Linked DNA regions of Callithrix jacchus. The protein of the gene in region 1 binds, or shares a complex with, the protein of each later gene. Links are inferred from orthologs where the notes say so. Each region holds a gene or a part of one and is shown on either strand. Other genes may lie near its edges.

The links.
Region 2: the proteins of PIN1 (region 1) and SMAD2 are in contact, whole or in part, in an NMR structure (PDB 2LB3), measured with the Homo sapiens proteins. The link is inferred for Callithrix jacchus from reciprocal best matches to the Homo sapiens genes PIN1 and SMAD2. Residues at the interface, in NP_006212.1 of Homo sapiens: Glu12, Arg14, Met15, Ser16, Arg17, Ser18, Tyr23, Phe25, Trp34; in NP_001003652.1 of Homo sapiens: Pro218, Glu219, Thr220, Pro221, Pro222, Gly224.
Region 3: the proteins of PIN1 (region 1) and CPEB1 are in contact, whole or in part, in an NMR structure (PDB 2N1O), measured with the Homo sapiens proteins. The link is inferred for Callithrix jacchus from reciprocal best matches to the Homo sapiens genes PIN1 and CPEB1. Residues at the interface, in NP_006212.1 of Homo sapiens: Arg17, Tyr23, Ser32, Gln33, Trp34, Glu35; in NP_001352172.1 of Homo sapiens: Arg206, Ile207, Ser208, Pro209, Pro210, Leu211, Pro212, Phe213.

The regions. Positions count from the first base shown.
Region 1 is NC_133523.1:9,042,731-9,045,732, reverse strand, and holds the end of PIN1 (peptidyl-prolyl cis-trans isomerase NIMA-interacting 1), read right to left. Parts: intron 2,125-3,002; coding exon 2,014-2,124; coding exon of another isoform or gene 1,989-2,013; intron 1,156-1,988; coding exon 1,046-1,155; 3' UTR 559-1,045; downstream 1-558. UniProt on the Homo sapiens protein: Peptidyl-prolyl cis/trans isomerase (PPIase) that binds to and isomerizes specific phosphorylated Ser/Thr-Pro (pSer/Thr-Pro) motifs.
Region 2 is NC_133514.1:90,930,291-90,933,685, reverse strand, and holds the end of SMAD2 (mothers against decapentaplegic homolog 2), read left to right. Parts: intron 1-1,122; coding exon 1,123-1,246; 3' UTR 1,247-2,819; downstream 2,820-3,395. UniProt on the Homo sapiens protein: Receptor-regulated SMAD (R-SMAD) that is an intracellular signal transducer and transcriptional modulator activated by TGF-beta (transforming growth factor) and activin type 1 receptor kinases.
Region 3 is NC_133507.1:23,935,773-23,939,520, reverse strand, and holds the start of CPEB1 (cytoplasmic polyadenylation element-binding protein 1), read left to right. Parts: upstream 1-1,328; 5' UTR 1,329-1,537; exon of another isoform or gene 1,538-2,571; intron 2,572-3,748. Other genes in the region: uncharacterized protein LOC144576600, read right to left, coding at 798-1,118.

The DNA.
Region 1 (3,002 bases):
ATGCCAGCCAGGCACCCCTGCAATCTGGGCTGGTCCTCATCAAGTGAGGGGGGGGTAGGGTATGCAGGCATAACCACTTCTCCATCCAACAGACCCACAGCTGACTGAACAGGGATGGGGATCAGGCAGGCCACACCCACAGCCCCAACACTGGTGGGGGACCCCATCTCCTCACCACCCACCCCAGGATCCCCTGTCCCACTTCAGGCACTGGAAGCTGTGTCTGCTCCCATCCCCCTCCCTGCAGGAGCCCCCTCCAGTCCCGGAGGGCCCTGTTGTCATGGTAACCACAGCTGCAGTGGGTGCTGGGCTGGACCCATGAACCTTCCAGAAGCACCTGAGATGCCAGGGAAGCAGGTATCAGGGTGCTGGGTGGCTGAACAGTGCCCACGTCCCTGAGAGCCAGCTGCTGGGACTCCCCCTGGCCCAGGGCAAGGGGGAGCCTCTTGAGGGTAAACGCATAGCTGGGACCCTTAGGATGGGGGATTGTGATCCCCTCCCAGTGACATGGTGCCCCCTATGCTTCCCTAAAGAGAAATGAGACATAAGAGAGCGGAGTAGTGGTTCTAGGTGTTTAATTGGGGTAAAAGGGTACTGCACGGTTGCTCAGAGGGCCCACTGCTGGGCCGCACGAGTGTTTGCTTTTGCAACTGAACAGAGGAGCGTGGCCTAACTAGAAACAACTCGGCCCTCGAGTCTGCCTCCAGGACCTGGGGAAGACACGGGGCGGCTCTGCTGACCAGGCCTTCTCTTTGGAACACCCCTCCCACCACACTGCCCTGGTTCTGGGCACCTTCCACCCCTGCTGAAGTCAATTCCTTAAGGGAGAGCCTGGCAGTCGCAGCCCCAACTGGGAATGGACGGGGAGTGGGGACTCTAGGGCCCCCAATCTGGAAGGGCCCCCTCCCAGCCATTTTGGGAACAATAAATACTGTTTGACGGTGGCAGGGAGTAGGGGGTTTGACCACTGGCCGGCAGGCAGTGGGGGAGCTGGCGGGCCCAGCCGCCCTGCCCCACCCAGAGGCCAGGCCTGGGCTCCCCACCCTCACTCTGTGCGGAGAATGATGTGGATGCCAGAATCCGTGAACACGGGCCCGCTCATCTCTCCCGTCCGCAGCGCAAATGAGGCATCTTCAAATGGCTTCTGCATCTGACCTGGGAGCCGGGAGGGATGGTGGGGTGTCAAGGCAGGGTTGTCAGAGGCCAGGATAAGGCAGGGCGGGTGGCAGCCACAATAGATGGGGCTCCTGACTGCGCTGAGCCTCACACTCGTCCACACTCATCCGTCACCATGTTTATTGCCGGTGCTGAGTGGTGGCCCAGCTGGGGGCGGCAGGGCCATTAAAGAGGCCCCAGGAAGCCCGAGGACAGCATGAAGGATGGCAGGCAGGGCTGCAGCCGCTGCTGCGCGTTTAGGGGTCGCTTCGGTAGTGAACTCATCTCCCTGGGCCTGGTTCCCAGCCCTGCCAGGTCATCTGTCCCACCAGCCTCCTCGGAGCAGGGGGGAAGCTGCTGGCCCCATTATGGACCCCCAACCCCCTCAGATGCATGCACCCCACACCCCAGCCTGGCCTCTCCCTGTTTGCAGACCCTGAGAAGGAAAAGGAGGATGCTTGGTCCTCTCTGCCCCTGATTTCCACTGTCCTGGCCAGACAGGCCTAAACTCAGGGCCACCTCCCCCCACCCAGAGGGATTCTGGGGAACATTCCCTGGGATTCTCAGGGAACCCAGCCTTAAACCCCCAAAGGAAGAGGCAGAGGACAGGACGCACCTGCCTTGGTGGGCCCGGGATAGAGACGATGCCAGGAAGAAAGCTCTGCAGCCCCCACCCTGTGTGGCCCCCGCCCTGCCCAGCAGAGCAGACTCTGAAGCCTGAGGAAGGGGCTGTGCTGCCACCTGCTGGACCCTGAAGGGCCATGTGGCACCCCGGATCCCAGTGCCCAGACCCTCCCAGCCTCTACCCCTTAGGGAGGAGAGGGTCCCCAGACCTGGTGAAGCCCATTCCTTGCGCACCTCTGCTGAAGGCGCCCAGGTCTCCCCTGGCCTTGGCTGAGCTGCAGTCGCTGAATTGTGAGGCCAGAGACTCAAAGTCCTCCTCTCCTGACTTGATCTTCTGGATGTAGCCTGCAGACATGGAATGGAATGGGAGTGCCAGGTCAGGGGCAGGGGCACCTGACCAAACGGGATGGAGGGCTCCAGAGCTGGGTGGGAGGGGGGCAGCACTTCACTTGGAAAACCTCCCCCTACAAGTGCACATGCGCCCCACAACCCTTCTCCTCACACACACTTGCACCCAGTCACACCTGTCCTCACCCAAGAAGATGCACCTTCATGTGCATCAGCACTTGGTGCACCCCACCAGTCATCCATGAGTCCTGCCACCCTGTGAGTCTCACACCCCTGCTCCCGCTGTCACTCTCACCATGTGCACGCACGCACGCGCGCGTGCACACACACGCGCGCGTGCACACACACACACACACACACACACACTTGAGGGAAAATCTATATCCAAGCTGGACAGGCCAGAGTGGGAGGCAGGGAGAGGCTGACCCAGGCAGGGGGCTGGGCCCCCGGGGTCCTCTGGGCAGAGGTAGGAGAGCTGTCCAGGGAGGGCCCAACACTGCCACAGCAGCCCTCCCATGCTGTTCCATCTGGGAAGAACAGCCTGGCACTGGGAAAGGCCTCCGAGGCACCCTGGTGGGCTTTGCAAGGGACACTCGAAGACTGTGGGTCCCAGGGTCCCAGAGGCAGGCGACAAAGCTCTTCTCCCAGCTTCCTACCTACAGTCTGCATGCTGGCAGAACTCAGGATGGCCCCTCCCTGTGTGGCCCAAACCAGCCCATCAGGTCTGAATCTCCAGGAGGAAGGGAAGGCCAGGGCTGGTGGAGGAAGGAGGAACAGGGCTGCCAGCAGAGGGGGCAAGATGGCAACACAGTAGCATCTGAGTGACTCGTTTTGACAGCCAAGTGGGGAAGGCTGAGTGTGTGTGCACGTGGTGT
Region 2 (3,395 bases), on another chromosome or scaffold:
ACTGATACCATCTGCCTCAGAAAATGACATTCTTGGAAGTACAGTTTTAAATTATATTGAACCTGTGTTGCTTGGAGATGAACAGTTGATAATGGGCTTTTCTTATAATTGAAGGGCTGTTAGTCTATAGAAGCAAGTAGGTTTATTGACTTATTCTGTGTAGCAGATAAGGTGGAACTAAAATCAGTGCATGGAAGTGACAGGATATCATTGAATAATTTGTAATTCCCATAGAGTTGTCCCTTTTGTTGAAGCACTATTAAAAGCCCGAATGGTGTTGCTAAGAGGGATGTTCATTGGCTTTGTCAGGGAAAGTTGAACTCCAGCATTTAACACTCTCTGTGGTAAGGGTTTACCTTGGGCCAAGATTTTGTTTTTGTTTTGATATACTTGTATTTAGACTCCATTTGATTATTTGAGTATCTACTATGCTGTAGTTGATTTGTTGAGTACAGTGACCGTATATATGTCTTGGTTTGCTTGGGAGAATCCTGATTCATGTCTCTTCTTCTGGCTTTATTTATTTGTGTGTTGGGACAGAGTCTCACTCTCTCGCCAAGCTAGATTGCAGTGGTGTGATCTTGGCCCACTACAACATCTGCCTCCTGGGTTCAAGCAATTCTCCTGCCTCAGCCTGCCGAGTAGCTAGGACTACAGGCACCCGCTACCACCCCAACTAATTTTTATATTTTTGGCAGAGATTGGGTTTCACCACGTGAGCCAGGATGGTCTTGATCTCTTGACCTCATAATCTACCTGCCTCAGCCTCCCAAAGTGCTGAGATGACAGGTGTGAGCCACTGCACTCAGCCCTGGCCTGATTAATAATAATACCCACAGTTTCTCTCAGGTGTTCAGTTTTGGACGATGGTGAATAGTAAGATCACCTTATTAATTTTAGTTTGATGTGATTTACAAGAACATCTTTTTCTCTTTTAAAACAAGGTCATCAGAAGTACTTTGTTTGACTCTGAGGATCAACCATTTTTCAAAATAATCGTGTCCAAAATTATATACTCAACCTTTTAATTTCTGTAAATTTTTAATGCAGTGTACATAAACAGCCATTTTTCCTGCTTGTGGACTTTATTTCATAATTATTTTCCTATATTCTTTTAAACAGAAGGCAGACGGTAACAAGTACTCCTTGCTGGATTGAACTTCATCTGAATGGACCTCTGCAGTGGTTGGACAAAGTATTAACTCAGATGGGATCCCCTTCAGTGCGTTGCTCAAGCATGTCATAAAGCTTCATCACCAATCAATTTCCATCAAAAGACTTAATGTAACAACTCTTCTGTCATAGTATTGTGTGTGGTCTCCATGGACTGTTTACTGTCCAAAAGTTCAAGAGAGAAAACAGCACTTGAGGTCTCATCAATTAAAGCACCTTGTGGAATCTGTTTCCTATATTTGAATATTAGATGGGAAAATTAGTGTCTAGAAATACTCTCCCATAAAAGAGGAAGAGAAGATTTTAAAGACTTAATGATGTCTTATTGGGCATAAAACTGAGTGTCCCAAAGGTTTATTAATAACAGTAGTAGTTATGTGTACAGGTAATGTATCATGATCCAGTATCACAGTATTGTGCTGTTTATATACATTTTTAGTTTGCATAGATGAGGTGTGTGTGTGCGCTGCTTCTTGATCTAGGCAAACCTTTATAAAGTTACAGTACCTAATCTGTTATTCCCACTTCTCTGTTATTTTTGTGTGTCTTTTTTAATATATAATATATATCAAGATTTTCAAATTATTTAGATGCAGATTTTCCTTGTAGAAAAACTAATTTTTCTGCCTTTTACCAAAAATAAACTCTTGGGGGAAGAAAAGTGGATTAACTTTTGAAATCCTTATCCTTAATGTGTTCAGTGGGGCTTAAACAGTCATTCTTTTTTTGTGTGTGTGTTTGTGTGTTTTTTTTTAACTGCTAAATCTTATTATAAGGAAACCATACTGAAAATCTTTCCAAGCCTCTTTTCTCCATTCCCATTTTTGTCCTGATAATCAAAATAGCATAGCATGACATCTTCACCAGTAATAGTTGCACTGATACTGCTGGCACCAGTTAATTCTGGGGTACAGTAAGAATTCATATGGAGAAAGTTCCTTTGACACCCAATTTTCGACAGGAATAATTGGCTTGTATAACCTGGCAGTCTGTTGATTTAACTTTCCACCTACAAAAAAATACATAGGTGGCAGTATAATTATTTTCAGGGATATGCTAGAATTACTTCCACGTATTTTTCCCTTTTTAAAAAGCTAATCTATAAATACCCTTTTTTCAAAAGGTATTTTAAAATATTTCAACCGCAGACCTTCTGGTCTTCTAGTAGTTTCATTTGATTTAGTTACCAGATTGTATTATGAAATGAACCTTTTGTAGATGTAATTGTTTCTGCAAAATACCTAGAAAAGTGATGCTGAGGTACGATCAGCAGATATGGGCCATCTGTTTTTAAAGTATGTTGTATTCAATTTGTAAATTGATTGTTACTCTACATGTAATTATGAATTCAGAATTTTAAAAACTGGGGGGAAAAGCCATTTCTTTAGCAAGTTTTTTAGCTTTTAAGTTACCTGCAGTCTGAGCTGTTCTTAACTGATCCTCAGTTTGTGGTTGACCATATTTCATACTCTGTAGTGAGAGGAGATTTCCGAAACTCTGTTGGTAGTTCATTCTGCAGCAAATAATTATTATGTCTAATGTTGACTCATTGCAGTTTAAACATTTCTTCTTGTTTGCATCTTAGTAGAAATGGAAAATAACCACTCCTGGTCATCTTTTCATAAATTTTCATATTTTTGAAGCTATCTTTGGTACTTGTTCTTTGAAATCATACTCAACCTGTCTCTACAGGTATCATTTTCGATACTTTCAACATTTGGTGGTTTTCTATTGGATACTCGCCATTTTCCTGTATTTGTGTGTATATGTATGTGTTCATGTAAATTTGGTATAGTAATTTTTTATTCGTTCAACAGATATTTATTGTTCGCATGTTTGTACCAGGAACTTTCTTAGTCTTTGGGTAAAGGTGAACAAGACAGCTACAGTTCCTGCCTTTGCTGAGACAGCAATTACACTAATCCTTAATCATCTTGTCTTTGAAGGAGATAAACAGGGTACTGTACTGGAGAATAACAGATGGATGCTTCAGGTAGGACATCAAGGAAAGCCTCTCAGGAAATGATGCATGAGCTAATACCTGACATTGAAGAAGCAAGCCAAGTGATGAGCCAGGGAAGATAAGCATTCCTGGCAAAGAGAATAGCATCAAATGCAAAAAGGCTCACACTAAAGGAAACTCATGATTAGATATTAATGCTTTATACAGAAAACTCTCTACAAATCCAAACTTGAAGATCAGAATGGTTCTACAGTTTATA
Region 3 (3,748 bases), on another chromosome or scaffold:
TGGTCTCGAACTCCCGACCTCAGCTGATCCGCCCAACTCGGCCTCCCAAAATGCTGGGATTACAGGAGTGAGCCACAGCACCTGGCCTGTCCAACCTCTTCTAAGTCTCCAGTAATACCTTAAAACAGACCTGACAATTGCCAACCCCTTTTACAATTTTTAAGTTTCCTGTTGTCTACAGAATAAAGGCCTTTTACAAACCCTGCCCAGGCTTCCCTCCGGCGGTATCAGCCCGCATCATCCTCAGTCCCCGTCAGAGTGAGCCGTCTGTGCAGTCCTCTCCCTCTGCCTTTGCTTGGTCTCCCGCCTGGAATGCCATCTCCGCCTCTGCGCTTGCCTAGGGCTTCCGGTCCGCCCCTGCTCCAGTTGCCCCAGGACGCCTGCCCTGGAGCCCTCGCCCTGTCCCTTGTCCTATTTTTGTGAAACTTTCTATTTCGGTCCGTCGGGAGTGTTTACCCGGGGAACTCCTGTCCAAAGAGGGCCAGTGATGTCTTTGGAACTTTCTGGAATGTCCTGACTCCCACGGCCCCCTCTGCAGCGCACGGAGCAGTGAGTCTAAAGTAAGTGCGCCTCCTGGAGCCCGGGTGCTATGGTTTGGACAGGGGCTGCAGGGCTGGCTCTCGCCCTGGAGAGATCACTGGAAGAGGAGGAGCGCGGATACGCGGCGGTACTGACAAAGAGATCCCGCCGCTCGCAGGGGCTTGTAAATCGTGCCCTCTTTCGTAAGGGGGTAATCTGAGGTTCAGGGCAAACGACTCGGCCAGGGTCACTTAGGTGAGTGGCGCGCTCAGGGTCCCTCAGGGGGCGGCTGTGGCCAGCAGCAGCGGCAGTTTCCGCCGGCGTGCGGGTGGTCTGCGGAGCACTCCTCGGCCCGGCCTGCAGGGAGAGGCGGGGCGCGCGGGGGCGGAGGCGAGGGCCCGGGCGGGGCCGACACAGGTGCTCCGCATCTGGCCGGGGGGCGGCTCCGAGGAGCGGCTCGGTGGAGCTTCATAAGCTGCTCGGGTGCGGGGCTGCGTGCGGCTCGCTGCAAAAACAGTGCCCACGTGCGTGCGCGTGTCTCGCCCGCCGGCCGGCCGGCCAGCCAGCTCCTCAGCCCCGCAAGGCCACACCGGCCCCATGGCGTTCCCGCTGGTAAGAGCCGCCCGCCGCTCGCCTGGGCGGGGCCGCGTCCCGGCCGCAGTAGCTAACGGTCCGTGCGCAGCCGGGTCCGGCGCAACGGTACCCCATCCCCCGCCCCGTGCGCGAGTTCCGGGCGGGGCGAGGTCACGTGCCCGCGGGCGTGGGGCCTCGTGGAGGGGTGGAGGGTGAGGGGGGCAGGGAGCCTCCTCGTGACTCAGGGCCTTTGGGCTTAAAGGCGCCGCAGCCTTGCGGGGGTGGCCGGTGGGGCCTCGGAGCCGCACTGCAGCCTCCGGGTGGCCTCGAGCGTCTGTCCAGACGGGAGCTGACCGGACAGAAAGGAGCCCTGGGGCCCAGAACACTTCTTTCTCACCCTGCCGTCGCACCCGAAGCCGCTAGCGCTGGAAGCTCACGTCCCGCTGTGGGTCTCTTTCGCACCCGCCGTGGGGCGAGGGGGAAGCCGGGTGGGGTGGGGCGGGACGGGGCGGGGCTGCTGACGCCATAGACCTCGCGCTGTGTGGAGCGCCCCACGACGGCGGCGGCCTCGGCCCCTTTAAGGCGGAGGGATCAAGCCCCTCGTGCGGCTTCCCAAGCCCGGGAAGGTCACGTGGCTTCACACCTTCGCTTGGCGCGGGAGTCCTGAGGCGAGGCTGGCGGAGTAGTGGGGCGCGAGGGCGGAAAACTGGCGGGGCTTCGCGTCCGCGAGACCCAAGGGGCTGTCGGCTTTGAGGTGGGCTCTGGGGTCGTGGGTGGGAGAGGGGTAGGCGTGCAGGCCGTGGAGGTGGCGCACACGGGGAGAGGTCGGAGCCCGAGTCGGGCTGTGCTGTGCAGACCCTGCGGCCTGGCGAGCGGGTGCATGTGGTCTCGGCGTTCTGGTCATTCTTCTCAGTGCCGGAGGAGGCCAGGTCTCCAGACTCAGGTCCGGCCTCAGGTTTGGTGGAGCAGCGGCTGGGGCGCTGGACGGGCCGCTTCCCTTGACGAACTGGTTGGGCGGGCCTGTGCCCGCCTGGAGTCACCCGGGAGTTGTGGGGACTCACCCACAAAGGGGCTCTCACCTTGGGGTGTCCCAGCCGGCGTCATTCCCCGGGGCTGCTGCTTCTCTCGTGGGTTCCTGTGCGGTCGAGTCGACCGAGGCTTTGCTGCCTCATTCCTAGGGGGCCCCGGGAGGCCAGAGGCCCCGTGAGCGGCCCCGCTGGCCCCGGGACCCGACCGAGAAAAGCCAGGCGGGCTCCTGGGCTTTCGGGCGCCTTCGTGGGCGCGCGCTTGATTTCTCGGTGGCACTTTGCTCCCTGCAGGCTTGGCCCCTTGCACCGTGCTGTCAGCTAGGGTTCCTCCCGTGGGGAAGAGTCGGGAGCGGAATCCGCCCTTAGAAGCCGGATTGCCTCGGGCCAGGTTGGCCCGGGAGGAGGCGGCGTCCCTCCTCCCCCGCCCCGCGCCTGCTGCCCGGCCCTGACTGACGCCCTATTTCTCTGGCAACTGCTTCCCTTGGTCTCCCTGGCTACCGCCCTGCCTCCCTGCACTGTCTCCTGGCACCTGAGTCAACCACTGGGCTGCGTGGTTGATGGGGACGAGGGGCAAGTGGGTGGGGTTCCTATTGTGGAAGGCACAGGTGCACCGCCCGCCTCTTGGCTGCCCTTCAGGTGACGGGGCTGTCCCTTGCCAGCGCCAAGAGTATCTGCTGAGGACAGTTTGCACCCTGAGGCTCGTGTTCCCTTTCAGTCTAGGTACCCACGTGGGTTAAAAAATAAAAAATTCAAACAGAACCTAATCTTGGAAACCTCAAGTTGGTGATTGTTTTCCTGATTGGTTTTTTGCACAGTTAGAAAAGCTTGCAGAGCTCGGGAATGTTGGAAAACCCTGGGGACTCTGTTTTTGGGACTCATCACTGGTCTTTTACTTGTCCCCATTGAACTGGCTTGGAGCTGAGCTATATTCCCAGAGCACGTTGCTGTAGAGTTTGGCTTTTTAAATTTTTTTGTCACGGCGTTTAGAACTTTGGGTGGCCTAGTAGCCCCTGCTCGGTTTATAGAAATAGGAAGTTGACTACCCTGTGTGTAAGTCAACCTTTGTAATATAAAAATACTTGGCTTCCCCGCTCCGAACGGCTTGTCTTATAAACAACTCCCTGGCCTAGGCTCCCGCGAGCGGGAGGGAGGTTGTGCCAGCCTGTGCAGCTCTTTGGGGGGTTGGAGAGCTGAAGCCTGTGGTGAATGATGGTGGGAACACTGGCAGTTTGGGTTAGGCCATAGGCGTTCCATGGGCTTTTCTTTCACTGTAGTGCACAAACCAGTGCCCGTGAAGGGAAAAGTGGAGGAGCATGATAAAGTAGTAGGACTCCAGGCTCAGCACCAAACTTATCATTGGCTCACTAGTTAATAGCTGCCTTAATAAGCATTTTCTCTGAGCACAACCGTTAATTGTGTTCTTAATCTTTAAAATGGGTTGCAAACTCAAACCCTGCAGGGGCCTGAGGTAACATAAATGAGCAGAGGAGGAGGAAGGAAAGGTAATGGCTACTGAGCTATAGAGTTTGTTTCTCTGAAAGGAGCAGCCACTAGCTGATTGTTGGCTATCTCTATTTTGATGAATCTCCTGACTTTTAAATGTAGCATTTAAAAAATTTTAAACACTA